Linked DNA regions of Lonchura striata. The protein of the gene in region 3 binds, or shares a complex with, the protein of the main gene of each other region. Links are inferred from orthologs where the notes say so. Each region holds a gene or a part of one and is shown on either strand. Other genes may lie near its edges.

The links.
Region 1: the proteins of CACNA2D1 (region 3) and CACNA1C are in contact, whole or in part, in a cryo-EM structure (PDB 8WEA), measured with the Homo sapiens proteins. The link is inferred for Lonchura striata from reciprocal best matches to the Homo sapiens genes CACNA2D1 and CACNA1C. Residues at the interface, in NP_001353796.1 of Homo sapiens: Thr170, Asp171, Tyr173, Ile233, Leu235, Gly262, Ser263, Ser265, Lys270, Thr274, Ala327, Lys328, Gly329, Ile330, Glu366, Gln391, His392, Tyr394, Ile416, Gly417; in NP_955630.3 of Homo sapiens: Phe147, Pro148, Glu149, Asp150, Asp151, Ser152, Asn153, Ala154, Asn678, Lys1090, Gly1091, Asn1092, Tyr1093, Ile1094, Tyr1096, Gly1099, Val1101, Pro1104, Ile1106, Arg1109, Tyr1156.
Region 2: the proteins of CACNA2D1 (region 3) and CACNA1E are in contact, whole or in part, in a cryo-EM structure (PDB 8EPM), measured with the Homo sapiens proteins. The link is inferred for Lonchura striata from reciprocal best matches to the Homo sapiens genes CACNA2D1 and CACNA1E. Residues at the interface, in NP_001353796.1 of Homo sapiens: Thr170, Asp171, Tyr173, Ile233, Leu235, Ser261, Gly262, Ser263, Ser265, Gly266, Leu267, Lys270, Ala327, Lys328, Gly329, Ile330, Thr331, Glu366, Gln391, Asn393, Tyr394, Ile416, Gly417; in NP_001192222.1 of Homo sapiens: Gln110, Leu112, Pro113, Glu114, Asp115, Asp116, Lys117, Pro119, Arg122, Asn630, Phe631, Asn632, Asp633, Gly634, Ile1330, Gly1331, Asn1332, Val1334, His1336, Met1341, Val1343, Arg1346, Arg1393, Ser1394.

Annotation. Positions count from the first base shown.
Region 1 is NC_134607.1:12,784,842-12,794,930, reverse strand, and holds the start of CACNA1C (voltage-dependent L-type calcium channel subunit alpha-1C), read right to left. Parts: upstream 4,508-10,089; 5' UTR 3,870-4,507; coding exon 3,821-3,869; intron 1-3,820. UniProt on the Homo sapiens protein: Pore-forming, alpha-1C subunit of the voltage-gated calcium channel that gives rise to L-type calcium currents. Mediates influx of calcium ions into the cytoplasm, and thereby triggers calcium release from the sarcoplasm.
Region 2 is NC_134611.1:2,000,022-2,009,345, forward strand, and holds the start of CACNA1E (voltage-dependent R-type calcium channel subunit alpha-1E), read right to left. Parts: upstream 4,598-9,324; 5' UTR 4,502-4,597; intron 1-4,501. UniProt on the Homo sapiens protein: Voltage-sensitive calcium channels (VSCC) mediate the entry of calcium ions into excitable cells.
Region 3 is NC_134607.1:63,576,329-63,586,055, reverse strand, and holds the start of CACNA2D1 (voltage-dependent calcium channel subunit alpha-2/delta-1), read left to right. Parts: upstream 1-5,491; 5' UTR 5,492-5,605; coding exon 5,606-5,700; intron 5,701-9,727. UniProt on the Homo sapiens protein: The alpha-2/delta subunit of voltage-dependent calcium channels regulates calcium current density and activation/inactivation kinetics of the calcium channel. Plays an important role in excitation-contraction coupling.

The DNA.
Region 1 (10,089 bases), about 51 Mb from region 3:
GAAGATAAGCTGTTTCACATCACTTAGAGGTATTCTGTATGCCCCATGACTAATGCCTACTCTGACCAAGCTTTACAGCAAAACAAGAGCACAAGAGCAAATGCTCAAAAATGATGACAAAGTTTGCTATATGGTGACTTTGTCACCATGGAATGAGTGTGGTTTCTCCTACACGTGAAAGCATTGCCCCAAAACAAACAGGAAATAAAATTGGTATTCTGAAAATAGAGCAGAAAATTAAAGCAGGCATCCAATAAATTCTAGAGCCTATAGCCAATGGCTTCACTTTGTGGCACAGCATGAGACAGATTTCAACTCTTCAACTGAAATCAGCTGTGAAGTGTACACAATCATCTCTATTTATACCTGCAAAGTTAAGAGGAATATTTGTGGGTTTGACCCTCATTTCAGGTCAGAAAATACATCAGGGAGTATGCTTGTGACTTGACCCTCTATCAATAGGCTTCTGAGAAATAAAGGGTATACTAATTAGTTCTTAATTTAACAGATACAGGAGATACAAGGACTATGAAAAGAGTGTCTTACACGGAAACATTTCAAGAACAGGGTATGTGCAGGTTAGGAAAGGAGGTTGCAAGAAGACCTAATTATGGTTGACAAATACCTGAGGGGGTTCTCTTTCTACAAGCAGCAGGTAGAAATCTGTTCAAAAAATGCAACAAGGACAAAGCCCAAAGGCATTATCTGAAATTGAAGGCAGGGTAGTTCAGACACGGTGGCTTTTCGCTCAGAGGATCATTACTGCACGGAATAAATGACCTAGCAGGGGCTCTTCAATCCTAATGAATTTTATTCCGGGTTAGCCGTCTCGGCGCTCCATGCGGAGCATCCCGGGCAGTGCCGAGTGCCGGCAGCGCGGCCCGGCAGTGCCACCTTCCGGGAGAGGCAGCCGGGACCCCTCCCCAGCCCGGCCCCAGGGCTGAGCACCGCAGCGAAACCTCGGCCTCCGCCTCCTTCCCTGCCACAGCTGCCCGGCACGGAGCTCAGCCAGCCGCCAGCTCGCTGCGAGGCCGAGCAGCGCCGGGCACCCCGATGCGGCCACCCCGGGGCCGGGCGGGCTCGTTCCGCTCTCTCCCTCCCGACTGGGGGCTGCAACACGTGGCTTTGCAAAGCGATTTTCTGTTTTATTCCAAGAGAGCAAGTTTTCAACAGTCTTAAGAGGGAGCGCACTAAAGATGCCCGTCTAGGATTCCGCCCAGTCCCACATGTGCGCTAGATGCGATGTGGTTAGTTTTGGAAGCTTTTGCTGGTGCTTCTTGGGTGGGGTTTTGTCATTTTCTAGACAAGCATAAGCTGTATCAATTAATAATTACTATTAAAAAAAATATACTCCATTGTGTAGCACCAAAATGAACATTGTGTCTCAGCATCAACAAATAACACACTATTTACTTGCCTTTGTGCAATAGGAGACTGTCATGAAAGCACAGCAGGCTTAGCAACCAAAAAAAAAAAAAAAAAGAGGAAATTCTTACTTTAGGGCCAAAGATTTTCAGGATACCTAGTCATGCTCAGAAGTGTAAAACAAGCATTATTACAAACCTACCCAACTGGCAGTTAAGAAGCCAACAAAGCCCTTTCAAATACACTTCCTCTCCCCCATAGCACTCACAATGTAACTAATGGCCTCTATGCTTTATTTATTTATTTACCTTAAGTAAGCCTTGTTGGAGCAGCTCCCCTGCTGCCCAGGTAGCTGAGTGTGAGCTCAGGTGGGCTGACATCAGACCTATGCTGGCAGCAGCTGCTAGCAGAGGCCTGCTCACATCAGTCACATTTCAAGAATAGACATCAAAATTTGTCTTGCACCACCAAGAACCTGGAACATTCACCTTTCTGCCAGCAACTGTGCAGGATGCAAGAGCGAGGACTGATCTAAATCAGTCTTGCATGTCAGAAGCAAGGAGCAGACCAGGATCCCAGACGTAGCTTCACCTTCTACCCCTCTTCTATCACTACCTTGCAATCTGTGGCTGCTTTAATGGCTCCATTCCACCTTGTGATTGGTTTGCTCCCATCTCCTCACCACCAGGTTTTCTTGACTACTGATCAATTTAACCTTTCAGGTGCTGTTTGCATAAAATAGGAATAGATTGTAAATAAATGGCCACCTGAGCACTACCAGGGAACATAACTCTCTTCCACCTGGCTGATTTTCTGTTTGCTTTAGAAGTTGCTCTTTCACCTGGGAGTAATGACAATCCGCATCAAGAGACAGATGCAAAACTGTTCCTCCAATTATATAATCACTGCAGCTGATAAGGAGGGAGCTGGATTTAGGTTGCCATAGCGTTGGCATATTGCTATGGAGGCTGAGCTCTTCATCCACTTTATCAGCGCTGGACCAGGAAGAGCAGCCCAATTATGCCTGCCGAATGCATGTGCTGCAGACTCGCTCCCACTTGGAAGAAGCACTCTGGATCAGGGGCTGCTTCCTTTCCCCTCCCACCTCATTTCGGTGGAGTGCTTAGGGGTGGGGGTGCTGGGTGGTTTTATTCTTTTTAATCTGCATTCAGTCGGAAGGAGGGTGGTGTTATCTCTAAAGCCCACTGCCCTTCCACCATTGAGGGCTGCCACGGCGCTGCTGCCCCTCCCCAGCTGCACCTCCAGCCGCCCCTCCGAGGCGCTCGGGGCTACCTGGGGGCTCCGCGGGGCTACCTGGGGGCTCCGCGGGGCTACCTGGGGGCTCCGCGGGGCGCGCTCGCCCCCGGAGCAGGTGTTGGATGCCGGCGGGCGGGGGCACGTTTGTCACAGGGAACTTGTCGCCGGCCGAGGAGGGGAGGGGCTGCCCTGAGGACCATGAGGGGGCGATGAGGGAGAAGTTGGCCTGAGGGTTCTGCTGTGGGGAGAGAGACACACACCGCTCCCGGAGGAGCGCTGCTCTTCCCTCGTCGAGGGGAGGAAATGGCTCTGCCTGCTCCGCAACACCGACGTGTGTGTGTGCAGCCAGGGCGGGAGGGGAGGGGAGGGGGTGACACCATGCAGGTAAACGGGATAAAAATAACTTCAGGAACGGCAGATCGGGGTTGGGCGGGGGCGGGGAAGGTTTCTGGAGTTTGGACAAACAAAGTTTTACTACAGGGAATAGCGGGGGACATTTGCTAATGCCGAGGAGCAACAGCACGGGTTGGTATCCATGATGCAGGCGATCCTGCGAGGAGCTCGGCGAGAAATGACTGCCCCACGTAAAACCCAGCTTTCCTTTTAATACAGACACCCCCGGTATCCCTCGTTCTCTCAGCATGAGCGCATGTATGGAGCACATGTGTGTAAACAGATAATTCTCCCTTCCCCTCCCCTTTCGTGCGAGAGATTGGGAATAGCGTAAGGGAAGGGAAGGGCTCCTCTCCCGGTGCCTTAGGAAGCCGTACCCAGATGGAGCTTAGGGGGACCGGGAGGAGGTTAATTGGGAAAGATCCCCTAATTCCGGCGGCCCTGCGAGTTAATTCTCGTTTGACACGGGGGAGCGGCTGCTCCGCGGCTCCCCCGAGCCCCCGGGCCCGGCGCGCAGCCCCCTCACCGGCCGCCCCTCCTCGCCCCTTCGCCTGAGAAGGCGACGACGGCGACTTTAAAGCAACTTTTCTTTGCCCGGGCTTTCCTAAGAAAAGCCGTTCTGAGAGGGGCTGCGGGGGTCTCCCCGGAGCACGCCCGGCCGAGGGGAGCTACGCGCTCCGAATGGAAGCCGGTGTCAAAGGCTGTCCTCTGCCTGTGGCGGCGACTGAGCTGAGCCGGGAGATAAGGGACAAAGGGCAGGGGAGGGAACGGTTGCTAGGTCCTCAGAGGTAAATCTCAGGCTTACCTTGATGGTTTTCTTCTGGAATGTACATCCTCTTGTTTTCATTGACCATTTAAAACGAGTCCAGAATAATCCCTCCGAAAATCGGCTTGGTAAAATTCAAGGAAGAATGGAGCTGCAGAATTTCCCCTTTTATTATTACCTGATTCCCATTATTGCATCAAACACCAAAAACTGATCCTTTCCACTACTGCCTCCTTTAGTGAAATTGCAATGCATCCTCAGTACATCCGGGCCCCTTCCAAGAATTTAGCACAGCACCTCTGGCTGTTAAACCATAAAAAAGAACAGGAAGGGGGGAAACGAGAGGAGGGGTGGGGGGGAAGGAAAAAAAGGCAAAAGCATCCAGGACAAACCTCTGAGGGTTAAATGTCTTTTTAAAATCCACCAACTACAAGATTAACAACAGGAGGAAGAGGGGAAAAAAAGGGGGAGATGTTCAAACGCTGCTGCTCCTCCTCTTCAAAGCCATTCTGAGCGCGTTGTGTTGGCAGGGAGCTGTTTCTGCAGAGGAAGAGAGCACAGTCCCAGCCCCTTACTCCCTCCCCTCCCTCAGCGCTCGCTCCCCGCTCTCTCCCTCTCGCCGACAGACAGACACACTGAACGCTTCCAGATGTTCCAGCTGCGGCGGCTGCACGCAGCTCCCCGCGCACGGCGTTGGGAGACGCCGGACTTGATCTGAAAGTTTAACACGCTGCCTGCCTCCACTGCGCCTGCTGAAGCCTCGCCACAGACATGACGTCAAGGAGGCGAGCTGGAGCCGGCTGCTGCCTGGGGGAGCGGGGGACACGGAGGGGAGCGGCGGGGCCGGGCCGGGCCGCGGCGGGGCCGGACCGGGCAGCGGCACGGCACCGCGCACCGGCCCCGCTCCGACCCGCTGCCTCACCAGCGTGGGCTCTGCCCTGCGGTTCCGCTACGGAATGCGAGTGTGAGCCGCATTTCAAGGAGCACGAAGCCGCCCGCGCGGTGTGCGAGCGCCCAGCGAGGCGGCGGAGCGGGCTGCGGCTCTGTGCGAGCCCCCGCGGCAGGCAGCGGAAGGGAGAGGTACCCAGCGGTGAGCTGCACAGACGAGAGGATGCACAGATGTTTAAACAGATTAATCAAGCTAGGATTTGCAAAATCCTCGGTGGAAACGCCGAAGTGCTCCGCTGGTATCCCACCACTTGCCTTAATTATGCCTGTCATTTGGCCCTCTATAATTGAAGCCTCCGCAGAGAGCAGAAACGACTCCTTTAAAATGAAATGCGAACTGAATGCAGTACATGTTAAACCTATCTGGACTCTCCGAGCTGCCATGTTAAACAAGAGATGCAGAGTCCTAAAACACCCCTCAGAATCACTGCAGAAGCTGCCACAACCCAAAGAACTGAACCACTCTGACATGCACGGAGGTGAACGCTTGGAATACCCTGTCCTAGGAGCAGACCCAGGGCTACAGATTCTCACCATAACCGAGTATCCACCTAACAACACATGCATGCAATACTATTTGTGGAGCTTAAAACACCATGGCTATTTCCTTTCAAGTGGTTTTCCATTTTACATAGGGAAAAAAAAGCGTATAAAAGAAATACTGTTGACCAAACTTAGTATCTTCTCTACAGATGCCTTTCAGTATCAAATATCCATCTCCTCATGAAGCTTTCACCCCTCCACTTTAATTGAGCTCTTTCAGCTGGAGCTCAAAATATTATAGAAAGCACCACCAGCTAACAGATTCATAGAAAGAAACAACAAAAAAAACCCAAACAAACAAACAAACAAACAAAAAAAAACCAAAAAAAAACAAAAAAAAAAAAGAAACCCCACCACACAACACATCAATTTGGAACTACAAAAACTAGAATAGATGTAAAGCACTTACCAAAAACTTGATGCAGCCAAATCACTTGTCCTAAATAAAGGTCATTGTTGTTTCTAATAACCACCGATCATCACAACTTCTGCATTAGATGCTATTCAAAGGGTAATTAACCAACACCATATTGCCATTGACAGCATGTAGAGGCACAGCTTTATTTCCGACTCAGGAGGAAGAGTTCCTCTGAGCAATTAAAATACTCTGTCCTCTCTTGCCTAGTTTTTCTCTAATAATGTCACATGCACTTACCCATTTCATTTGCCAGATCAGGCAAGATCTTAACTAGAGGTAGAATGGCAATATATTGGCTTTCATTCCTAGTTCAAGTTTCCTTTTTTTCAAAAAGTCATCCTCCCTTCACCATTATAAAAAGGACTGAACAGAAGATACTTCACTGCCTACATTTGTTGTGTAAATGTACATTTTGTTTTTCTCTTGTGACCGCAAATCCTTGCCATTTTGAGTTGTGCTAACTCCAGTTTTTCCATCCATGAGTCAACTGAGCCTTGCATGATTCACCCGTGCATGGACAAGGTATCTTGGGAAGTAAATGCGTACTGATCACCCCTGCCCAGAAATCAAACACTGCTGGAGCACCCGTAAATGTTTCTTTTGCCTTTCTGGGGTCACATCCTCAGCTAGCTGAAGAATAATGTACAGTATTATTTAAGCAGTTAAAATCCACATAGCCCTGCTTTATGCCAGCTCACATATGTATGCAGGCACATACACAAGCTGTCTCTGACACCTACAAATCTTTTCCTCTGTTCTTTATCCCTCTCTCTCTGCCAAGCTCCCACAGTAGGACACAAGTCGGGCCAATAACCAAAAATCAAATACCGAAGAAAAATAGAACAAGAAACAACACTATTAGCTGGCATTAATTTCTCCAGCACAAATAAAATTCTACTATAACTTGAGGTTTCCTTACTCAGCAATTCTAATAAAATAATTTCCTATACAGAGACGTGGAAGGAAACTGATTGTAGGATTAAGATGGAAAGACCCTGCTAATGAATCACGTGGCATAAGAGTGAACACCACACCTTCCCCTAAAGTTTTTGCATTATCCAAACACACAAAGAAGATGTAGTCCATGAAAACAAGATTGGTAAAGAGGTGGTAAAGTAAAGTAAAGCTGCTTGTAAGAGTTTTTCTTAATGTGATTGCTGAAATGTACATTTAATAGGTATTCCATCAGGTAAGAACTTGAGGTATTAACCTTCATAGAAACTAAGAAAATTAGCCTTCTTCAGAGTTCAATCCCCACAGACACACCCAAAGAGGAACATACAAGTGAGAGATAAGCTTTAAAGAAAATTATGAAATAAATATTATTTCAACACAAAACCGATTCAAAAATTCTTAGTCCCTGCCTGATACGGCAGCCAGCAGATTTGGAGGTGAGATGGATAATGGACAATCAGACACAAGGGTATCTCACAGTGGCCTGCTTGTGGATTTTCTTTAAATACATGATGATAGACTGGACAAATGATCTCATGTATATTCAGCCTTAGGCCTCTCTAAGGTGAAGATACAAATTTTCTATCCCATACAGTGGTACAAGTAGAAAAATTGTTCTCCTGTTGCTCTGAGAACAATAGTGATGAGGGCCATATAAAGCACCAAGTCAGAGATTCTTGAAAAAACTGCTATTTAAAGTTGTAAAGTGTCAAAAAATGACTTGCAGGGTACATACTGTGAACATGCAAGTCCATTCTTCGTGTCAGGAATGTTTTGTTCTGTGTACAATATAGCAGCCCTTCCCTGATGTCCAGCCTTATAAAGAGTACACTGGGCACAACAACTTCTTCCAAATCCAGAAGAGAACCTGCATTCATCTTCAGAACAGGAAACACCTGAGTAGGTTGTGCAGGAGAACATTTCCCTGCTTCCAAAAGGAGGAGTTACTGTCATGCTGTATGGAACAAATGGGGCTGGAAAGCAATGAGATTAAGGCAGAGTGTGCAAGAAACTCTGCATTGAACTATTTTTATAATGTATTATTTGTAAGGCTCTTTTAAGCAGCCTCAGTACTCCTAAAATGATGTCAGATTTCCACTGGGCCTATTTCATAGCCTGTCTAATTGTAGTAGATTGTGCTCACACTATATTGGCAGTAATGCCTTCTACTCTAAAAGAAAAGGGTAAATTATTCAAAAGTGGAAAATAAATGCATTTTATCCCAGAAATGGTACTAATGTTCACAATACAAATGCAATTCCTTCCAGGGCCAGCTCAGAGAAACGGTGCCAGAGCCCTGCATTACTTTGCCGAAAGGTATTTTTTCCCCACAGATTTTAGGTTTTGCACCTCTGCCAACAGAGAAGGCTGCTCATAAGAATTTGCACTGTCTTGCACTGAAGACTATGGGATATTATTTTAAATAAATGACCATTCCAGTCTAAAGCAAGAGTCTGAGAAATCCTGGGCACACTAAAGAATCACTGTGCATGAGCAACATAATACTCCTAACAACTCCTGTAATTTCTGACAAGACTGCATTGTTGGGCCACACACAGTAAATACCAGTATTGGGTATTTGCTGGTATTGCATGACTACAATGTAAATTTTTTAAAATGAAATGTTGATGATAACAATTTTTTCTCATATTTCAGGACAGCTGTGTTAAGAATTGTTCTCCCAGTTATTTTTGATGCTTTTGAACTATGCATCATCTAAAACTGCATCATTCTCCACACTTCTTATTTGTTAATGAAAAAAAATTACCTTTTTGAACCTATGAATACAGATTTATAAAAATGTTCCTTATTTTACTTTTGTTGGTTGCTTAATTTTAATTGAAATTAAAGAAATTGATAATCCTATCTAAAGCTATTCAAAGTGTGGTCAGGAAACTGCAGACATTTCAAAATTATCAGCTAGCTAGAACACAAGAGACTTTCTCAAGATGAAAAAAGTCTGGTATGGATGGGAAGCAGAAGACTGATGATCAGAATTTCTAGGTGATTTCATTCCTTAAAATCTGTAACAGTTACATGCACACAGGAAATTTTGAAATTTTATACAGTGAAAAAGATTGATTTTCAAAGTCAAGTTGGGAAATTTAGATGTATTTTTTACATTCAAATTAAAAGAAGTGGTTACTTGACCTTGAAATTTCAGTTATTAGCTTTTATATTTGCATTTAAATGTTTTCAAGCAACTAAGAAATTAGAAGGGAAATGATAAGATTATCAAGGTAGTTGTATGGCCCACTAAAGCATATTAAGGCCTAGTATTAGTAAATGACAGAAAATGTTAGATCTGAGGGAAAAAAAAAAAAAAGAAAGAATTAAATAATTGACTGCTGGGTAGGAAAGTAGCTAGTTAGGAGAATAAATGGTAATTAGACCCAGAAGAGAAGGAAGTAGATGAAATTGATGGCCTTCAAGTAGCTTTTGGTTTTCTAGGTTGCAAAAGGCTCTAGAGAGTAACCTAGGTGTCCAAAAGTGTGATTTTATTCAAATCTCACTGGCTATCCTGGCTGTCAGCTGTGATCTGTGACTCAATGGGTGGTGGCAGAAGTGCTTTTTTAAATTCCAGCTGTAGAAATGGAAGCAGTCACCATTTATCCCTGTAAACAGGGGATTGATGTCTGATTACTGTGCATCAGTGCACAAATCCATGCAGAATTTTAAGATGTAACAGCAAACAACTGCTTCAACACTCTAAAAACAAAATAGGCATTTGTCCCAAGTTAAAACATAAATGCAGCTGTGCTTATCAGACTTGAAAAGAACTTTTACCAGTTTTCATTATGCCATCATCATCATACCTAGCCAGGAGGAAGGTTTAACACCTTTGCAGAATTTAAATACAAAAGTATTGTCTGGAAAAATTTGGTGTCTCTGCCGTAACAGTTTAAGGGAAAGACCCAAACTTAACAAAAATGTTGCACTGCTTCTATTTAAAATAAGAAATAGTTGAGTCTATCTAGATTGGTTAGGTACTGACACAAAGAGATTTAAATTCAGCATTGTTTCATTAGCTTCTGCCAATTAAAAAAAAAAAAAAAAAGAGAAAAAAGAAGAGAGAAAAGCAAAAAAGCAAAATTGTTGTGGTTAATACCAGTCTAAAATCATCAGTTAAACAAGACATGGGCTTATAATGTCTACAAGGAGATGTACAATGAAAAACAAATTTTTCATCCAATCAGCCTACATTGTTGAAAATAATCATGCAAACTCTTGAGTGTATCTTAGATACTTGCCACAGCTTACACAACAAAAAATTGAGCGCTTACTACCGTTTTAATCTTCCATCATAGTTCTAGAAAATACTCAAGAATATGGAGTTTGTAGCTTGTTCTTAACTAAGAACCAAACAGAATTTTGGATTTAGGGCAAGCACAAAAAGACTATTTTGGACGGGAGGGATTCTTCAAAGAATAAATGTTTGCAAGTT
Region 2 (9,324 bases), on a different chromosome or scaffold from region 3:
AAAAATCCCACAAAGGAAAACCCAAGGGCTGGCCTCTTGTTTTCCAACACGTCCCATATGTCTCAACTCACACTTGTAAGATTTTGGGATGGAGTTTCTCACCCTGTATCACACCACAGGAAGGGTCCCAGCTCCAGCCATGCCCACAACAACAATACTCCCCTCACCAGCTGCTTCCAGAGAGAAAAACTCCTATTTTTAGGGAAAGCAGAGGTTCAGAGATGGCCATACACACAACCCCACTGCTGGGGAGCTGTGCCCCACCTCCCAATCCCCCAAATAAGTAGGATGTGATCCTTCCCTGCCTGCTGCAGCCTTCTCTCCCCAGAGGCCAGGATGAGAGGCAGAGCAGGAGGAAGAGTAGCCCGAAGTGTTGCTTGGTTAATCACAGTAATTAGCCACCATCTTGAATGACTCCCATTAGTTACAGCCTGATTTTCTCAGGCACAGTCAGCACAGGAGGTTTCAATTAAAACTCATCTCAAAACCGACATGGAAGTACCACCCTGACCCACCATGGGGCTCCTCCAGGACATGGGGGCGTGCACAAGAGGTGCTCTTTTCCTTGAAAGGCAAGCTTTAATTAATTTTAAGCCGGGTACGATTTCCCAGCCCTGCTTGGGAAGCCTCAGCACCTTCTGCCTGCAGCTTGGAGAAACGAGGCAAGGGGAATCCAAATGTTGGCTGCACCAGAACACTCCACAAAAATGTTAGCCACAGCTTAATGAGCTCTCTCCAGGGATGTGCTGTCAGGGGTAAGGCTCAGGCCTGCCCACACCTCTGGGATTTGAGGTACCTTTCCAGCTGGTTTGTGCTTATTTATAGGCAGCAGTCCTTGCAGAACCATGGGAGCAGATGAAGCTGAGTCTCTTCCCCTTGATAATGTTGAGTTTTCTGCTGCCCTTCCTGCAGAGATCAGGCTCAGACATCTCCAGCATCTCACCAATGCCAGGGGCAGGCGCTGCACACCAGGAGCTTGGGGTGTTTTTAATGGGATCCCCCATTCCCTGCTCATTAAGTGACAGGAAATTGAGTGTTTTGGCACTAAAGAAATAGAACAATAACCCAGAACCAGGCTGGGAAGCACAGATGCCTGTGGATGGCAAACTGCCAGAGGGAGTGTCTTAGTGCCTGTGCTGGTTCCTTTAAACAACTGCCTGGAAAACCCAATATTGGATTTAAATCCACAACAGGCGGCCTCTGAAGCAGGGAGCACAGATCCCAACACATCTCTGCTGAAGAGGAGAAAAACAACCCTTCTGAGCCAATAAATAGTACAAGCAGAGGGTTGCCTTGACATGGGATTTTTTGGGGGGAGAATCCCACCCCCCTCACTTTGCAGATGCCACCGCTGGGGAATTGTGGAACAATTGGTGCCAGGGGACACCCGAGCCAAGCTGCTCAGAGCAAAGCCAGGATGATGCCGGAGGTATCAGAAAGGGAGAAAGCCCAAAGCCTTCGCCCAAGCCCCCGGGCTCCCGCCTGCCCTGATCATTTCTCAGCCTGACAGAGAGCTCAGCAGCCTCTCCCCAGGCACGAGGCCTCACGCCCGTGACTAATGGTATGTTTTGACATCCCTGAAATACTCCAGCACTTCATTTCAGCCGCAGGGAGCAGGAAGGAAGGAGGGGACATGCTGGTGGGGAGCCGGCACCGGGGAGGGGAGGGTAGAAAGAGCTTTTGCACGAGCAACAGGCAGGGATAAAGCAAAGCAGCATGGAAAACACTCGGGAGATGGATGAGAGGCAGGTTGAGAGCTGGAAGGCACCTGGGGGCCCTGTCTGGTGCCCTCTGCTCCTTGGCTCTGCCTTCCCTGCAGCTCTGTGGAGATGCAAGGCACTGGATTTATCCATCTCCTCCTAAACACACCGCTGGAGTGGGGACACAGGGATGCTCCACTGACCCCCAGCACATGGCTGGGGAGGGATGCAGGATGCTGGAATCCCTGCCCGTGGTTAAAGAGGGATGCAGGGTGCTGGAATCCCTGCCCGTGTTTAAAGAGGGATGCAGGGTGCTGGAATCCCTGCCCGTGGTTAAAGAGGGATGCAGGGTGCTGGAATCCCTGCCCGTGGTTAAAGAGGGATGCAGGGTGCTGGAATCCCTGCCCGTGGTTAAAGAGGGATGCAGGGTGCTGGAATCCCTGCCCGTGGTTAAAGAGGGATGCAGGGTGCTGGAATCCCTGCCCGTGGAGGCAGGAGAAAGCAGTGTGTCCCCAGGCTGCTCCTTTGGACTGTCTCCAGCAGAGGCAGGAAGATGACAGACAGCGGTCCCGGGGGAGGCTAATTAATGAGCATCTTCTGCGTTCCAACAGGCACCTCCGGCCCCGGGGGAGCCAGGGCAGCAAAGAGCATCTCAGCCACCAGCCGAGCTGCTGGCCACCACCATCTGCCAGCCACGGAGAGGAGCAGCCGAAGCCACGGGGGGGATGTGGAGCTTTTCCTGGCAGCTCTCGCTCATCACCAGCTGCTCACGCTGGGGCTCAGGCGGTGCTGCCGCTGCCCAGGGGCTGGGGAGAGCCCAGGGCAGGGGTCTGCGTGGGCTCCACACCACCACGGGCAGTGCCCCGAGAGGCAGAGGGGAAAAAGGGAACGGCCCAAAAGAGAACTGGCCCAAAATGCATCCCTGCCCTGAGGGAAGAGGCTCAGAACACCGCCAGACTCACCCCAATCTAGCAAGCAGAGCAGAAGAGTCACCCCCTGAACTGCATCAGCCCGGGGTCCACCCCTAAATTCCAGCCACGAGCATCCTCAGCGGCAGCCACGGCTGCAGGAATGAGCAGGAACTCCGGCTGCCATCACCCGAGTGCCACTCGCAGAACTTTCCTTGGGTCACTGGGAGCAAGGAGCCGGTCTGGCAGCAGCAGAGGTGCTGGGGGTGTGCCGGGGGGGACTGGTTTCTCTTCTCAGCTGTCACCAAAGTCATCGTTGTGGCTGTGAGTGATTCACAGGAGTGCATGAAAAGCCGTGAGTCACACGCTGGATGCAGTGGGTGGGTGCATTGACTCAGCCACACCGCGGATGGGGCACGGGGGGCTGCAGCCTCACACGGCCCGGGGGACAGGGCTGCTTGCATGGGGTCACGGGCAGTGCTGCCAGAGGTCTCACACACATGCTCAGCTCCCATCAGTGCCCTCAGCAGTGTGGGTGAGCCAGGGGGAGGCTCTGCCTCAGCATCACCCTGTCACCTGCCCCAAAAGGGTGCCAAGGGGCCGGACTGTGCTCTCGCTCAGCCTGTCACTGGCAAAAGGTTTGTACTGTCCTGCGTGGCAGGAGAGGAGGAGGAACCCCCCACAGGTACTCAAGGGGTGCAAATGCTTCCCAAACTACAGCGAACAAACTTTCCAGGTGTTCCAGGACCGCTGAGGAGTGAAGCAACTCTGCCAGGCAGCAGCAGAGAGCAGAGGGGAGTTCAGTGCCAGGGCCTGATGCCACCACCAGCACCAGCTTCACCTCCCAGCCCTGTAGTGCCGCATCCAGGGGGCTCAGCCCACCTGCAGCAGGAAGAGGGGGCTGCAGGAAACCCTCCAAAGGCTCATGTTTGGATGGCACTCGGTCTCTCCAGTCACTCAGCGGGTGATGGCCGAGCCCAGCCTCACCAGAGCAGCCGGCAGCAGCAGCCGAGGCTGCGAGCGCCCGGCTCATCCCGCTGGCAGCGCCTTCAGTCATGCTCTGCCTCCTCTGCCAAAGCAGCCCGGCCGTGGATGGGGAGCAGCCCGGAGTGTCACCGCGCCCCACGGCACCCTGAGCCCGCTGTGCAGCACGGAGCAAGCCCGGAGAGCCGGCTGAGGGAGATGTGAGCCCCGGGGCGCACAGCGTGGGGCAGGCTCCAGGTAGCACCGCTGATGATGCGGGAAGTGTTATCCTGGCCCCGCCGGAGCCACGAGCACCCAAACACACGCTCTGCGACGCAAGAGGAGCTGGGAGAGCCGGAACGACGAGGCAAACAAACCCTGATTTAGGACCCCGCTCGTTCATCACTGTCACCGGCAGCGCCCAGGAGCAGCACCTGGACCCACAGAAAGCCACTGGGTGCAGGGACACAACACGACACGGAGCACTGGGTGCCGAGGGTAGGCAGAGGAGAGGAGCCAAGAGCTCCAACACGTTTGGGAAGCCCTGGGCTGGCAGGGGAGGCGGGCTGGAGCCGGAGCAGCCCAGCGCTGCCCTGCATCCCGGCCAGGGCTCCCCAGGGCAGGGGGACAGAGGGGGTGACACCTCAATCCGGCTTCACCCAGCGCTCCACGAGGGCGGGCAGCCCCCAGAACGGCCCCGCGTACACAGCATCCTCCCCGAGGGTGGCGGGTCCCCCGGGACCCCCAGTCCCCCCCTCCAGAGCACCCTCAGCAGAGAGCCGAGGCTCCCTTAGTACAAACTTTGCGAGAGCCCATCCCCGGCACCTGAGCAACCTCGGGAATGGGAAAAACCACGGGAGCCGGGCTTCAAACTTGGGGTGTCGTCCCAAAGCGCTGCTGGAGCCCCCCAGCTCGCCGCTCGGAACCCACCTGTGGCCGCTGGCCGCCGGCTGCTTCCCCCGCGCTCCAGCCCCGGAGCCCCGCGCATCCCGGAGAGCGGCGGAGACAGAAGGGAGGGGAGGAGGTGTCCACCGGGAATCGCTCAGAGAGAGGAGGAGGAGGAGGAGGAGGAGGATGGAGACAGCCCCAGCTGGCGTCTCCCGACCGTCCCCAACAGGTAGCAGCGAGCGGGGCGGGGATGGGGGGGACACGATGTCCCCGCGGACTTTGGGAGAGCCCAGGGCCACCATCCCGCTAGGCATGGCTTACCTGGGGACAGAGGCATGGATGCGGCCGGGGGTTATTCCAGAGGCATGATTTGTTATGGAAAAAGGAGGAAAAGAGCCCTGGGGAAGGGAGGGGAAAAAAGGGAGGGAGGGGAGAGGAAGAGGGGAGGGAGAGACGAGAGGAGTAGGGAAGGAAGGAAAGGGGGAGGGGGGATAAAACGAATTTTTTTTTTTTTTTTTTTTTAAGGAAGAAAATAGAGACAGTTAAAATCTGTCTCCTGCCCACACAGTGAAAAAAAGAAATTTCTGACAATCGGAGGAAGGGAACTCGCACATAAACCAGAGGGGGCAGACGGGGGATAACAAAGGAGGGAAGGAGCCGAGACAAAACACGGCGGCAACTGTCCGGGCACACAGCCCCTGGCACAGCCCCGGGGCAAGGACGGGGCACACAGCTCCCCTCTGCCCAGCCAGGCCAGCTGGGGTCAGGGGGGCCCAGCAGCAGCACCCACGAATCTGGCAGAGCACCCCCCACTGCCCCCCAGCCCGTGTCAGGGCTCCCCCATCCCTCCTTCTCCTCCTCCCTGTGCACACCAGGGCATGGTGACCACGACAACCAGCCAAAGTGAGGGCACCTGTGGGGACAAGGGACACGGATGCATATCCCCCCCCCCCACCCCACCCTACCCTGATCAGAAATTGCTGCTGGGAAGGGGTTGTGCATTCCGGGCTCCCTCCTTAACCCCATTTGCAGCCTGGTTTGCAGAGGTGCATCTCCTCTCCTTCTGCTTGGGCTCTGGTTGGCTTTCCCAGGCAGTGCCCGTGGACAGCTGGACCTGGAGGGGCAGGGTGGACGGGCTGGAGGTGACACAGCCGCTCTGTGTCACTCGAGGAGCACTGTGTCACCCCCCAGCACTGCCACCGGTGCTGCCAAGGGCTGCTGCTCCAAGGCAGCACACAGATTTCTTATATCCCCCCTGGCACGGCACAGCTGCTGGGCACAGAAGTCCCCAAAATCTCATCACTCCTCTGGGAGACCACATCCTGCGGGCTCCTTTGGGTGGCCCACACCACGATGTCCCTTTGCCTGGGCTTTTTCCTTTCACCACACTGCAGAGTATCCCAGGAAACCCGAGTGGCTTGGCAACGTCCAGCAGCATCCTGGACTTTTTAGCTTCCTGGGCTGGCCACAAAGGCTGCCCCGAAGCTGACCCTGAGCCCGGGCAGGTGCTGCTCCGTGGCACACAACCCTGCTCCGTGGCACACGGGCAGCATTTCTGCTCCTTGTGCTTTGCCAGGACACCGTGTGGCTCTGCAGTGCCCTGCTGGCATCTCTGTCACCCCCTGACAGGGACACTGTGCCACCCAGCCTGGCTGCTGTCTCTTTAAAACCTTCATCCCTAAATCTGAATGAGGGGAATCTTGGAGATGAGTGCTTCATTTAAACATCTCATCCAGCACTCCCTTCATTCATTCATGCTCCTGCCCCAGCACACTCCTGCCAGCACCTCGGGGAGGAAAACCTACATGTTCCCATTCTCCTTGGGATGGATAGAAATCCCTCAAACAACTCCCAGGACCCTGCACACCAAAATCCAGCCCAAGCAAGGCTGTTCTGGCACGTACAGAAGAGTGCAAATGGTGCCACAGGGTCCACTCCTGTCAGTAATTCCCACTCATTCTCTCGTGTTCCCAGAAGCTGGTCCTGATATGGATGAGAACATTCCCTGTTGGAGGGCATCCCTCCAGCTGCCCAGAGCAGGGGCTTTGCCACCATCTCACACCCAGCCCTGCATGCGTGGTGCTCCCAAATCCTGTTTTCCATGGCCTCTCTGCAGCTGGGACTTACCCAGGTGGGAGCCAGCTCGAAGGCTCCGAGAGCACTTCCCCAGTGACAAGGCCAGGGTGTGTTTATTTAAACACACACGTGCTGCTCCTTGGGGACCAGGGATGCCTTGGATTCGGATGTCTCCATGGTTACCTGCTCACGGTGGGAGCTGGGGGTGATTGAACTCTGAAGAGTTCACCATCCACCACCCATCTCCCTGGGCTCCGCTCTGCCTCCCCAGCAAGGCTGCTCCAGCTCCAGAGCAGCAGGAGGGGGAGGAGAAGCCAGGTTCTCCCCAAGAACTCGTTACGTGAAGAATTTTGCCGGCTCCGTGGATGACTGGGCACGAATGCAGATCAGCTTCCTCATCCCGAAAGAAAAGACATTCCTGATCGGCACCGAGACAAAGCTGAGCATCTCCTCCCACCACCCAGAGCCAGACAGGAGTGAAATACGGAGCGACAGCATCAGGAGCAGCACCGACATCCCGGCACGGAGCTGCTGTCATCCCTGGGGAGCAGCGGCGCTGCCGGCATTCCCAAGGAGCTGCAGGAGCTTCCCCCAGCCCTGCGGGGTGAGAGTCCAAGGGAAAGAGCCAAAAAACGCGGGGCTGCAAAGCCCAGCTAGGCAGGAATGAGCATTTCTACATGCAAGGGCGTCTGACTTTGAGCAAAGCCTCAAAGGTTCGTGGAAGCACCTGCAGATGCCTGAGCCTGTTGTCCAAAGCACTTGGAGCTGATCCATGGGCTCTGCTGACCCTCATCCCACCCAGCAGCACTGTGCAGAGTAACCTCAAGGACCTCCAAGGTTCTAACCCACAGCACAGCACAAAATCCCATCTGGTTTTCCTCCTCCCCACTCATACAGCCACAAACATTCCAGGTGCAGACTATCAGGGGGCAGCTCAGAGGGTGACCAGAGACCAGCAAAGCACAACTTGATGGGGAAAAATTTGCCTGGAAGAATTGGATTTGTCTAGTCTGGAAATCCAGAAGAGATTGGGTAGCAGTCTTCAATTATGTAAAGGGTTGCTGCAAAGGGTGTGAGAATAAATTGTTCTGCATCCCAACAGGGATTCTCTTCTTCCACAGGCAATAGGACGAGGCTGTAAATTGTAGATTAGACTAGAAAACAACCACCTCAATGGCAAGGATTATTTAAATTGTGGGACAGACAACAGGGAAGCTGCTGGGATTTGAGAGCAGGCGAGACAAACACCAGTGAGGTGGGCTGGAGGAAGCAGTGTGAGACTGGGAATGGACCCCCATGCGAGCTCTGCTCTTCCCCAGGCATTTTAGCACTCAGTGCCTACCTCGAGCTGACTTTTCACTGCTTTCTGCCAAGCAGGAGTGGACCAACAGCTTTTCTGAGGGTGATGCCTGCACCTTCTGCAGTGCCCATGCTCTCTGTCCTGTGCTTAGGACCCACAGCACATCAGGGAACACCACCCAGGGACCACCTCCCCTCCCAGGGAAGCTGCAGCAGGATGTCATCACCCACCCTCTACGTCCCAGCAGGAATTAGTGGTGGGGTGCAGCTCCCCACCCTCTCTGGAGCCATCAGTGCCTGTAAAGTTGACCAGTCTGGATCAGAAACTCCAGCTCTTTATGCCCCTTTTGAGTACCACACTCGTGCCTTTCAAGCTGAGCTGTGTGTTTTTTCTACCAAATCAGCCTGTGGGGAGTTTAAACAGAGCTAAAGAGACAAGAGATGAAGCCCAGGGCCAGCTGAAAGCAGCTTTAAAAACAAAGAAGCCCAGTGTACTCAGCAAAACCTCCAGCCCAGCTGCCAAATTGCCTGCTGGTCCCATAGGTGGTGATAGCAGGAGAGATCCAGATATTCAGATTTCCATCAGGAACAAGCCCTGCTGCCCTGGAGAGAGGAAGTTGCAATTGCCACAGGGAAGAGAAATTGGGCAAGGGGTGCTGTGTGCCTTCCACAGCTGGTAAATACTCAGAATTCTACCCTGGGGTGAAAAAAGCACTTTCCAGTAAATTCCACATGCTCACACTAAGGTTTGTCCCCAAGGAGCTGCCTGTGCCAAACTACAGACTTCTGTTTAACAACAGGAGAGCACATGGAACTTGAAACATCTTTAATAATATTTACCCTCTCGCAATAATATCAACGCTAACAAGGCCAGAGAAGAAAAAAAATCATCCTACATCTCAGGATGTTTATGTAAAGTGAGACTAAACTTTCCCAAAGTAGGAATTTTTCAAAAACCAGACAATCCTCCCTGGAAAAAAAAAAAAAAATAAAATTTCAGTAATAAATTTATGAGATGAGGTTGCAAAAGAAAAATACCAGAGTCCTGTGGGAGACAGACAAAAACATGGAACTTTCTCTTTTGGGACTGTACTTTTGGCCAGCTGAATCACAGGGAATCTGCATCCTGAATGGGATGATCAAGAAGCACGAAATTTGTCTGAAAAAAACCTCCTAAAAATCTCATTCACCCATCAGCTACTGCAGACTGCAAAAAGAAATATCAGCAAATAAAAATATCAGCGAATACAAATTTCAGCAAATACAAATTTCAGCAAATAAAAACTTCTGCAAATAAAAATTTCAGCAAATAAAAATTTCAGCAAATAAAAATTTCAGCAAATTTCCCTCTGAATGCTCTGGCTGAATTTTGTCACCTGGGTTATCACCAAACAGGCAGCAGCTCCAGCCTGTCACTGAAACCTGAGCACAAAGGAGAAGCCTTTGCCCTGCCTGCTGCTCCACCTCCGACCCTCAGTTTATATTCCATT
Region 3 (9,727 bases):
GTATCAAAAAACCCAAGTGTGAAAATACATACAGTCCTGCTCTAATGACTAGAATTAGAATGAATGCTTTCCTCAAATCTGACAATAACAAGCAAAGCATAAACTGTCATATCAAATAGTGATGGTTTTGCTGCCACATCTAGCATGCTTACTCAAATATGAACAAAAGCAATGGTGAGAACAAAACAGTGTTGATTATCTTGCTGTTGAATGTAGGTCACAAAGTTTTTGCAATATAAATTTTATCAAATTCAAATATGTAAAACAATTCATCTCACTTGCAATGGGCTGGATCTTGCATTTCCATCTGGTGCAGACTTCAATAAGAGAATTTTTACCCCTGAAATTAGAAATTGAGATCAGGCTGTCTTTAGTCAGTCCTGCACCAGCAAATGGAATGAGAACTACTCAGCAAGATTACCCCCTCCTTCCCCATGTGAAACACAGACATAAAGAAGATATTACATGCCAGGAAGAAAATAGTATTTTGGTATGTGCCATTGATTATCAAAGAACTGTAGAACCAGAGAATCATTTAGGTTGGAAAAGACTTTTAAGATTATACAGCTCCACTGCTAAACCAGCACTGCCAAGTCCACCACTAAACCATGTCCCTATGTGCCACATCTACACATTTTTTAAATACCTCCAGGTATGGTGACTCAATCACTTCTCTTTCACAGTGCTTGACAACCCCTTCCATGAGGAAAATTTTTCTAATATCCAATTTAAACCTTTCCTGATGCAATTGAGGCCATTTCTCCTTGTTCTATTACTTGTTACAGAAGAGAATGACCCCCACTTTTCTACAACCTCTTTCCAGGCAGTTGTACAGTGATAAGGTCCCCCCTGATCCTCCTTTTATCCAGGCTAAACATCTCCAGCTCTCTCAGCCACTCCTCACCAGGCTTGTGCTTTACACCCTTCTCCAGGGTCATGCACACAATTTTTGCCATGTTTCAGCAGGCACATTTTGGCTGAACCCAGTAACATCTGGGGGTTCCAGCTAGTGGAGCATGTGTTACACCAAGAAGAAAGGTGGAATGTGCTCAGCAAAATGCTTCTTACGGCAAAGGGCTGGCAAGAATAAAGCCAGTACAGATTTATTGCCTATAACACCCCCACAAAAGACACTTGAGGCCCTTGGTAACTGTGTCCCATCTATTCACACAAGTGCTGCAGTCACTGCACTGCCAAGAATTTTTCTGAAAATGCTGATTACTGAAGAATAAGTTTATATACAAGCATAAAACCACATTAATACAACTTTAATTCTGGCACTAACGTAATCAATTTGGATTTTTAAAAAATGGTTAAGAGACAGAGGGCCATGCTCCTTCGTCTTTTATACTAGATTTGCAATGGTGTAAATAAGACATGATAACACAAATAATATATACAGAAATGGAAATAGAAAAGCTTGATCAAGAATTAATATTTGCTACGGATTAACTGTGAAACAGCATTTTGTAGTTTTGCAATAGGAATTTTTTTCTGACATATGGACTACTATGGTCAGTTGAGTGATTTTCAGTACTTGCAGTAGAATCATAGAATGAAATCACAGAATCTTTTAGGCTGGAAAGGACCTTTAAGGTAAGAGTCCAACCACAAGCCTAAATCTGCCAAGTCCTCCAAACAGATACACAGAAAACTTTCCAAAAGGTGCCTCATTCTATCAATACCTGTTGCTCCTGTGCTCCTTCACAGAAAGATCTCGGTCAGACATGACATAAATAAATTTAGAATGAAGTGAAGTAAGAATGAAAAAAATTTACTTTTGTTGTTTGTCATTCAAGTGCATAAAGAAAAAGATTTGTTAGCTGTAATAGATCTTTAGGAATCTCAGTGCAGATAAATTATAAGAATTTCTGCAGTGCAATGTTACTGTGAAGTACAAACCATGTATTTTAAACAGTGACTATATAAGAAAATAGTTCAATTGGCAAATGTAAGGAAACTGATTGTTTAGGACACTTGAATGGCTTTTTAAAACTTCATGATGACACTACATTTGTGCTTCTTTTTTCTGCATTATGGGAGGGTGAAGACATACCAAGAAACTTAACTCTGCTAATTTTATGTTTTATGTCAATCACACTTTCTCATTGAAGGTAATGGAAACTTTGAGGCCTGTTACTCATGTTCATACACTGTAGGATGAGGTCAGCATTTCTAAATATTCTGCATATTTATTAAATACTTGGAAAATTAATGAAATTTTAGGCCACTAATATAAAAAAGATTTAAAAAAAAGAGTGGGTGATTAGTAAATAACAAATTGTTCATGGAAAAAGTCCTGCTTTCTTTTCTTCCCCATGCTTCAGGCTAGCAGTGGATTCCTGATTTTCAGATTCAAAAAAAGGCAAGACTATAAAACCTGACCTCCAACCTTACTTAATTTTACAGGAAAACTGTTATTTGATTCCACCTTTTCTCAAAACTGGGCTTCAGTTCAAGCTTACTTGTAAATCCTGAAAAGCTTGCAGGTCGATCACAGACCTTCCAGAATGCCACATCCCTGGTCAAGCTCCATTTTCCAGCCCTGGCTGCTCCTCCACGCCTCAAGCAGCTTGCTGGGAGCTAACCTGAGCTCCATGCTCCTCCACGCTGCAGCCACACACAGACAACTTCTCTCTTTCATCCCCGGGTTTCAGTGAGCTCCACAGGCACTCACGCTGTTCCCAGTAGGATTAGCTTGCAGAGAGTCTTGTTATATAGTTGTAAATAGCACAGTAAATTGCAAGCTTTGAATACTTCTTTGATAAATCATAGCAGTATTTTCTCTGGAATCTTTTTCATTTTTCAGCTGTTGTTCAGTGTATTAGTGCTGATTAATCCATACCCTACCCTAGCTGAGGTGTTAAGCAATCCATGCATTGCACAGTTCAATTGTTAGCCACGTGTTACTGTTGTTGGAACTATTTGCAGCTATAATTATTGCCCTAAGAAGCTCTATAAGCATCAGAAATGAAGCTTGCAGAAAATTATATTAATGATGAAAGAAACATTCCTGTGTAGCCCTTTAATTATTTATTTATTATTTGATGTTATCACTCCCTGATCTTCTGGTCTCCTTTACATTATATTGAAACAGTACTTGTGAGTAAGGGTGGGCTTGCTTATTCTGCCCTACTGAAACCATTTCCTCTGTATGTTTTGCAGTTACTTGTACCCTCTCTTTCCCACACTAACATGTCAGTACTTTTCTGTTTGCCACTCCGGTGGGTTCTCCTCTGGGAGAGCACCTCTTTCTCAGCTTAGTGCCCAGAGCTTGCTCAACAGGCCCTTGGAGGCAGTCCTGCTGGGAATTTAACATGAACGCTTTCCTGCTGAGAAGAAATGGGCATATGCTTGATCATTCAGGTAAGGAAGGAACCAGGTGGGGCATTCTCATTTATTCTGGAGGGGTGTTGCCAGTGTTAATCTATTACTGTTCTGCTCAGTGCAAAACTGTAGGTGTTTTGGGGCACAACTAACTAACTGAAGAACATCTGGTTTCTGGTTACTCAGCAGAGTTTAGGCATGAATTTGAGCTAAACTTCAGAGTCCTATCAAGGAGCAGAATCAGTATTTTTGTTCAATATTTACTGCTACTCTTAGTGTGAGAGCCCAAAAATGAGGAGCTTTGTCATAGTAAATTACTTTATCTAAATAAATTTGTCATGGTCTTGTGCAACCTGTACTAGTTCACATATCCAGCCCCTTTCCTCTGTGCCTTTCTCCAAGACTTTAATCCATTCCCTACATCTTTCTATCCCAGATCTCCTCACAATATGTCTCATATGAAGCAGAACTTTTGTGCCACAGGGCCATGACTGTGCTGGTACCCTTGACATCCCCGTGGGGAAGCAGAGGTACTCAGCTCAGCAGTTACAGGTAAGTACCCAAAGAGGTGCCACTTCATGTGGCAAAACTGTCAGGCCTAGGGAAAGCAACAAAAGCTGAGCTATAGATACTCTTCAGACTGTTTGAGTCTAAAGGCTGCAGAATCATTTTAGAAAATGCTATTTCAAACTTGCATCCAAACCCTGATGAATCCTACGTACCTATAGGTAGGTGGATAGGTGAAGACAACTGGGAGTTCTTCCCACCAGCTCCCAAGTGCCAGCTCCAATCCAGAAACAATGTAGATGAGTGACTGCATGCTTTACAGATTGCAACTGAAATATTGTGCTGGCTTTGAGCCCGGGCAATGTGAGCACTCAGTTCTTCATTTGTGCATCTCAGTTTTGATCCCTTTGCCACCTTTAAAATAAAGATGAGCACTTTTCTGTTTTATAGAAATGGTTGTGAGTTAATACATTCAAGATGCGATCCTTAAATACAAAGGATGCAAAAAGAAAATGAATACTGGGTCTGCTCCTTTATCTTCACCTGTTGAACTAAGTGAATATATTAAAATATAAATATGTAAGCACATACAAAGAATAAAAAAAAAAAACAACAAAGAAAAACAACCTACAGATCGAAAAGAAAACAAAAATTTTCACTGAACTTTTAACTGCTTTAACAAATAAGCTAAGAAATATTTTCCTGGATTACTTTCTACATTTATACCGAGAGTGTACAGTTGCCACAGAGACTGGCGTGCGTGAACACGGGCAAACGAAAGGAGTCGGGAGGGAGTTCGCCCTCTGAATTTCCAGAGGGATGTGAAATGAATAAGTGGGTTAGCGATGCGGCGGGGCGGGGGCGAAGCCCGAGGACCCCCGGCCGTGCCCGGGGGCGGCGCTCAGGGACGGTGCGGCCCCGGGACGCTGCGAGGGGCGGGGGCCGGGCGGGCTCCGCGGGGAGAGCGGCATGTACGGCTACATCCATTAAATACCTATTTAAATCGCAGCCCCGACTGCTGGCACACGGGCCGCGTGCGGCTGCTGCTGCCGCCGAGAAGGGAGGAGGGGGCTGGAATTAGAAGAAGGCACGAAGCGGTTTTAAAAATAGCGTGCGGGCTGCGCGGGGCGGGGCGGGGCGGCGGCAGCGCGGCCCCGGGGCGGCCCGGCCGCGAGTTCCTGGGAGCCTTGTATGGAGCGCGGCCGCCGCAGCGCCCGGCGCCCGCCCCCGCCGCTCGCCGCCACTTTCCCCGCTGCCGGCAGGGAAGGCAGGAGCCGGCAGCGATCCGCCCGTCTCCAACTCTACCGCCCGCTTCCCTCCTCTTCTTCCAGGAGCCGCCACCCCGCCTGCCTCTCTCCTCCTCTTTCTGCTCTGCAATCAGTGGAATAAATCGGGGAAGGACGCGCGCACACACACGCAGAGTGGGATCTGTTACAAAAGTAGCGCTGATGGCGGCGGATCAGATGGAGCTGGAGCTGCTGCTGGAGTAGCAGAGAGTGGAGTATCTCTCGCTCGCTCTCTTTTCTGTGTTTCGCCTCTTCCCCCACTCCACCCACAGATCTCCATCGTTTCTCCTCCTCCCCACCCTCGGCCGCGCTCCCGCTTTTCCGCGCATCTCTGGGCTGCGCCTCCTGCGAGGGGGCGGGTGGGGGGAGCGGAGGAGGCTTTAAAGAACCACGGCCCCCCCCGCACCGCCACACACGATAATTGAATTTATTATTACTGCCGTCTCGCCGACTTGGGGAAGGGGGATCGATCTTCGATCAGGAAGATGGCTGCTGGCTGGCTTCTGGTCTTTATCCTGACACTTTTCCAGTCCGTGGTGATGAACCACTCCTCGGAGGGACCCTTCCCCTCGGCCACCACGTAAGTCCCAGCGGGGTCCGGGGGTCCGGGCGGGGGCACGGCCGGGGCGGGGGCGCTCCTCGGCGCCAGGGACAGCGACAATACAAAGGGAAATCAAGTTAGACCGGGCGGAAAGTGCAGATCGGGGGAAATTGTAGGATTTCGGCAGCTTTTTCTTAAAAGAGTCAGGGTAGGTGAAGGTCCCGCCGGGGCGATCTCCGGGAGGGGGAAGCTCCGGTGACGGCCGGCGGCGGGACTTTTGAGGTAAAGGCTTCGCCTTGGAATCCCGCTCCGGAGCGGCTCCCAAATATACCCCGTCGGGTCATCCTTGTGGAGAAGAAAGTTTCGAGTTACACAGAGTCCGCCCCTTCCTCCCACAGAGGTTATTCCAGCCGGGATGGAGTTTCAACATTGTTTATATAAAAAAACCTGAAAACTTCGGCAGTTTTATCGAAATCCACGCGGAAGGCGGATTTCGTTGCCTTTCCGCGGGCGGCATGGGAAGCGGGGCAGGCGGGCACGGCTGCGAGTTCCGAGCCCCGGCTGCCTCCTGCCTGGCCGGGCTCCAGCGCACCCGCGGGGCTCGGGGCTGCGGTGGGTCCCGCGGAGGGGCTTTGGCACGCTTAAAGCCACCCAGCCGAAGGAGGGATTTCTTCAGCCTTGGCCTTGCCGAGCCTTACTTCTCCGAAATATCTTCGCGAGAGCTGAAGGATGCTCGCGGTGCACGCAGCTCGGTGCCTTGCCTGGCCCTGAGATAGAAATCTTTAAAGCGCTGCAGAATTATTAGCATGAAAGTGTTGCCCAGAGCAGTGCAAAGATCAAATAATAATGATGCAATAAAAGAAAGGCAAAAGGAAAGACAATACATATTGAAGATTCGCCTACAGATAGGAAAAAATATCCACGACAAAGCAAAGCACGATGTGATCGTGTTTTCTTCCTTTTTCTTCTCTCTCACCTCATTATATTTATAGTCTTTTTGTTCGGTTGGGTTTTTTTTTTTTTTTTTTTTTTAAGCACTTACCTTAGTTCTCGAATCTGGGTTACAGCTACCAGTAGGTAACTTTTAAGTGGATGACTCACTTTAATGCATTTTACATAAGAAAAACAGTGCTAATGGTAGTCTTTTCTTATTGTTTAACATTGGGTAGAATTTATTGGTGTCATTCATCCTGGGTAGAAGGATGCCTTGCAGTAATTACCGACAATGCATTTTCACCAATTAGTACTGCTGGTAGGTTGTTATAATTGGATTCAGTTCTGTGTATCGGTTCCATTATGAAAGACTCAAAGGGATGCTCGCACTGTTAAATGAAAGGACCACAAAAATAAGTGTGGAATAAACACTTAGTATTTTCTAAGTTGAATAAATACAGTTTTCCATTTTAGAGAAAATTACCTTTTAAAACATTCTCGTGTAGCAGTTTATAAAGATGTGCCATGTAGAAGCAAGTGTAGCAAAATACAAACCCAGGGCTTTTTAATTCATTGTTTTCTTGTGTTTCTCCCATATTTACGATTTTTTGAGCTCTGATATTTGTGGTTTCTCACTGAGCTGATAAGGTTATCATACACATCTAATTACAGTTTATCTTCTGTGGGGATTTTTCTGGGTTTAAAAAAGAAAGAAAAATGGAACCCAGTGAAATTAAAAGAATATAATATAAAAAGATTATGTATATATCCAAATAGAAGTCCAGATTACTTTTTAACCTAAGAATATGTGATATTCTTTTAAAACTGTTTTTGTCTCCCCATCTATTTTTGCTAATTTCCTTCCGAATTTACCTTTATTGACAATCATGATACTAGAACTTGACAACAGTGAAACATATAACTTTAATTATAAATATATCTATGATAAAGTAATTCAGAATATTATGTTAGTCATCAACATTTCCATGTTCTGCACAATCTACTTGCTGTTTACTCTCTTTTTTTTCCTCATTGTTATTCCATTGCAATATTGCAGAAACAATCTATAGTGACTGTGCATCCCTCACTACTGTTTCCCCTTTGAAATGGCATCAAAGTGCAAGCAAGGCTTAGTTTGTTTGGAAGGCAGCGCACAACAGGTTGATGCAGGGAGAGCTGTTTGGCAAAAAGTAATGATGTAACAGGTGAAGGAGAAAGCAATTTTTCTAATCTTCTTTAAGACTTGACAGCAGTGTTTCATTTCTTACTAAAAATTACAAATGGGAAAGAACAAAGAGAAGTGACGCAAATGCTCTTAATGTAAAAGATATTATATATTAAGAATATTAAAAATAGGAATAAAAAACACAGAGGAGAGGAGAATAAAGGAAAGAAAGGATATGAATAATTGAAAAACTGGAGTTTTGCTGATATTATGTGCATAGTACCTTCTTTCTCCCCATTATTTTCAGTCTCTTTTTTCTCTTAGTGAAAAAGTTGGTCTGAGGAAGGAAGATATCTTAGCTGTGTTGTGTGAAAAATGTGCATATTCAGGGATATAGAGTATATGGTTTCTTCAGCAGCTCATTAGTGCACAATCACTTTTCCTTCAGTCATCTGTTTCTTCTACATTAATAAATATTTTAACATGAGTCTTTACTGAAACATTCAGGAGTCCCTATCACAAATATAACAATATAGAAGCATGTAGTATTCTTAGCAAGAAATGCTGAAGGTTTATGCAATGCTTTTGTGATAGAATTTTAGTAATTTGATTTATTTTAATTCTCTGATAAGGTAAAAAGGCCCTGATTTGTTTACAAAGCAAAATAGAGATTTTCAGGTGCAGGTTTGTGTTGTATGAAATGCTAGCATTAATTTTTCATTGAAAATCTGAGCAGGTGTTATTGCATTCCTTGCTTCCAGTGTTGAAATATTTCACTGCAAATATTGAAGATTGTCCTTTAATAAACTATTGAAGTATAGTAGTAATTGTATCTTGGACTGAGCCATAAGGCTTAGCTGCTGATTGATGTATATTGCATTCCATTTAAATGTATCATATTAATTGTGTCATATGTTAGGGATCTGTTTGTTGGTACAAGATACCATGTTCTTACTTTTAACACAGCAACTCCAAGTCCTTTAATTACACCTGCAACACAGCTGATGTTTTGCACTTAGATGAGAATATTGTATGTAGTACTCCCAGCACTATAACCACTACTGCTATAACAGTATGCAAAGCACTTATTTTTTGTAGCCATATATATTTATATATTTATTATGTTTACAGACTTCAGAAAAAACCATACAGTTAAATACACAAGGTTTGTATGTTGCCTGATAAGGATAGCAGAGGAGTCAGATTATTTCTGTTCTTTTCTCTACACTGCATCAAGACAAATAGTCTTAAGTATATCTTGTAATTCCTAAGTATCTTTTTGGCACAGCATGTGTTGATATTGTTACCGATAGTGAGTAATGTACTACATAAAGACACACATTCTCCTTTCTGATAATAAACCTGTTTGTACTGATTAAAAAAGGAAAAAAACAAACAAATGAAGCATATTTTAATTTTTATAAAACTATGGATAAAATGTTTCAAAATCATTGGGACTATTTCTGTAATTATTGCATCACTGTGGATATATCTTAATGTCTTTTCTTTTTATCCCCCCTCTAATTTTCCTCTTCTACTCCTTTTCTCTCTTTCCTTTAGCATTTAACATTTTTTCCTCCTCAGTCACTTGTTCTGTATGTATGTATCACATTAAATATTAAATTCAAGACAGATCTGCCACTTACATACATTGGTGGATAAAGATAATATAAAGATAAAAATAGTATATGTATGAACGTATATCTATATGTATGCAGACAGGACATTTTTAGAAAAGAAGTTGTGTTTTCACATTTTTGACTTGCATGAATCATCTTTGCTGTTTTGGTGTCATTAGGACGACTCAGGGAAGTCTGTATGAGTCATATGAATTAGGGCTTGCACAGCTGGGACATTCATATTTTTGGCTTCCTCACATGGACCTAACAAGTGTAGGTCCTGCTGAGAGTGTGGCTAGACTTGGTCTCAGCATCATTTTCTGTATGTCACCAGTGACCAGAGGTAGAT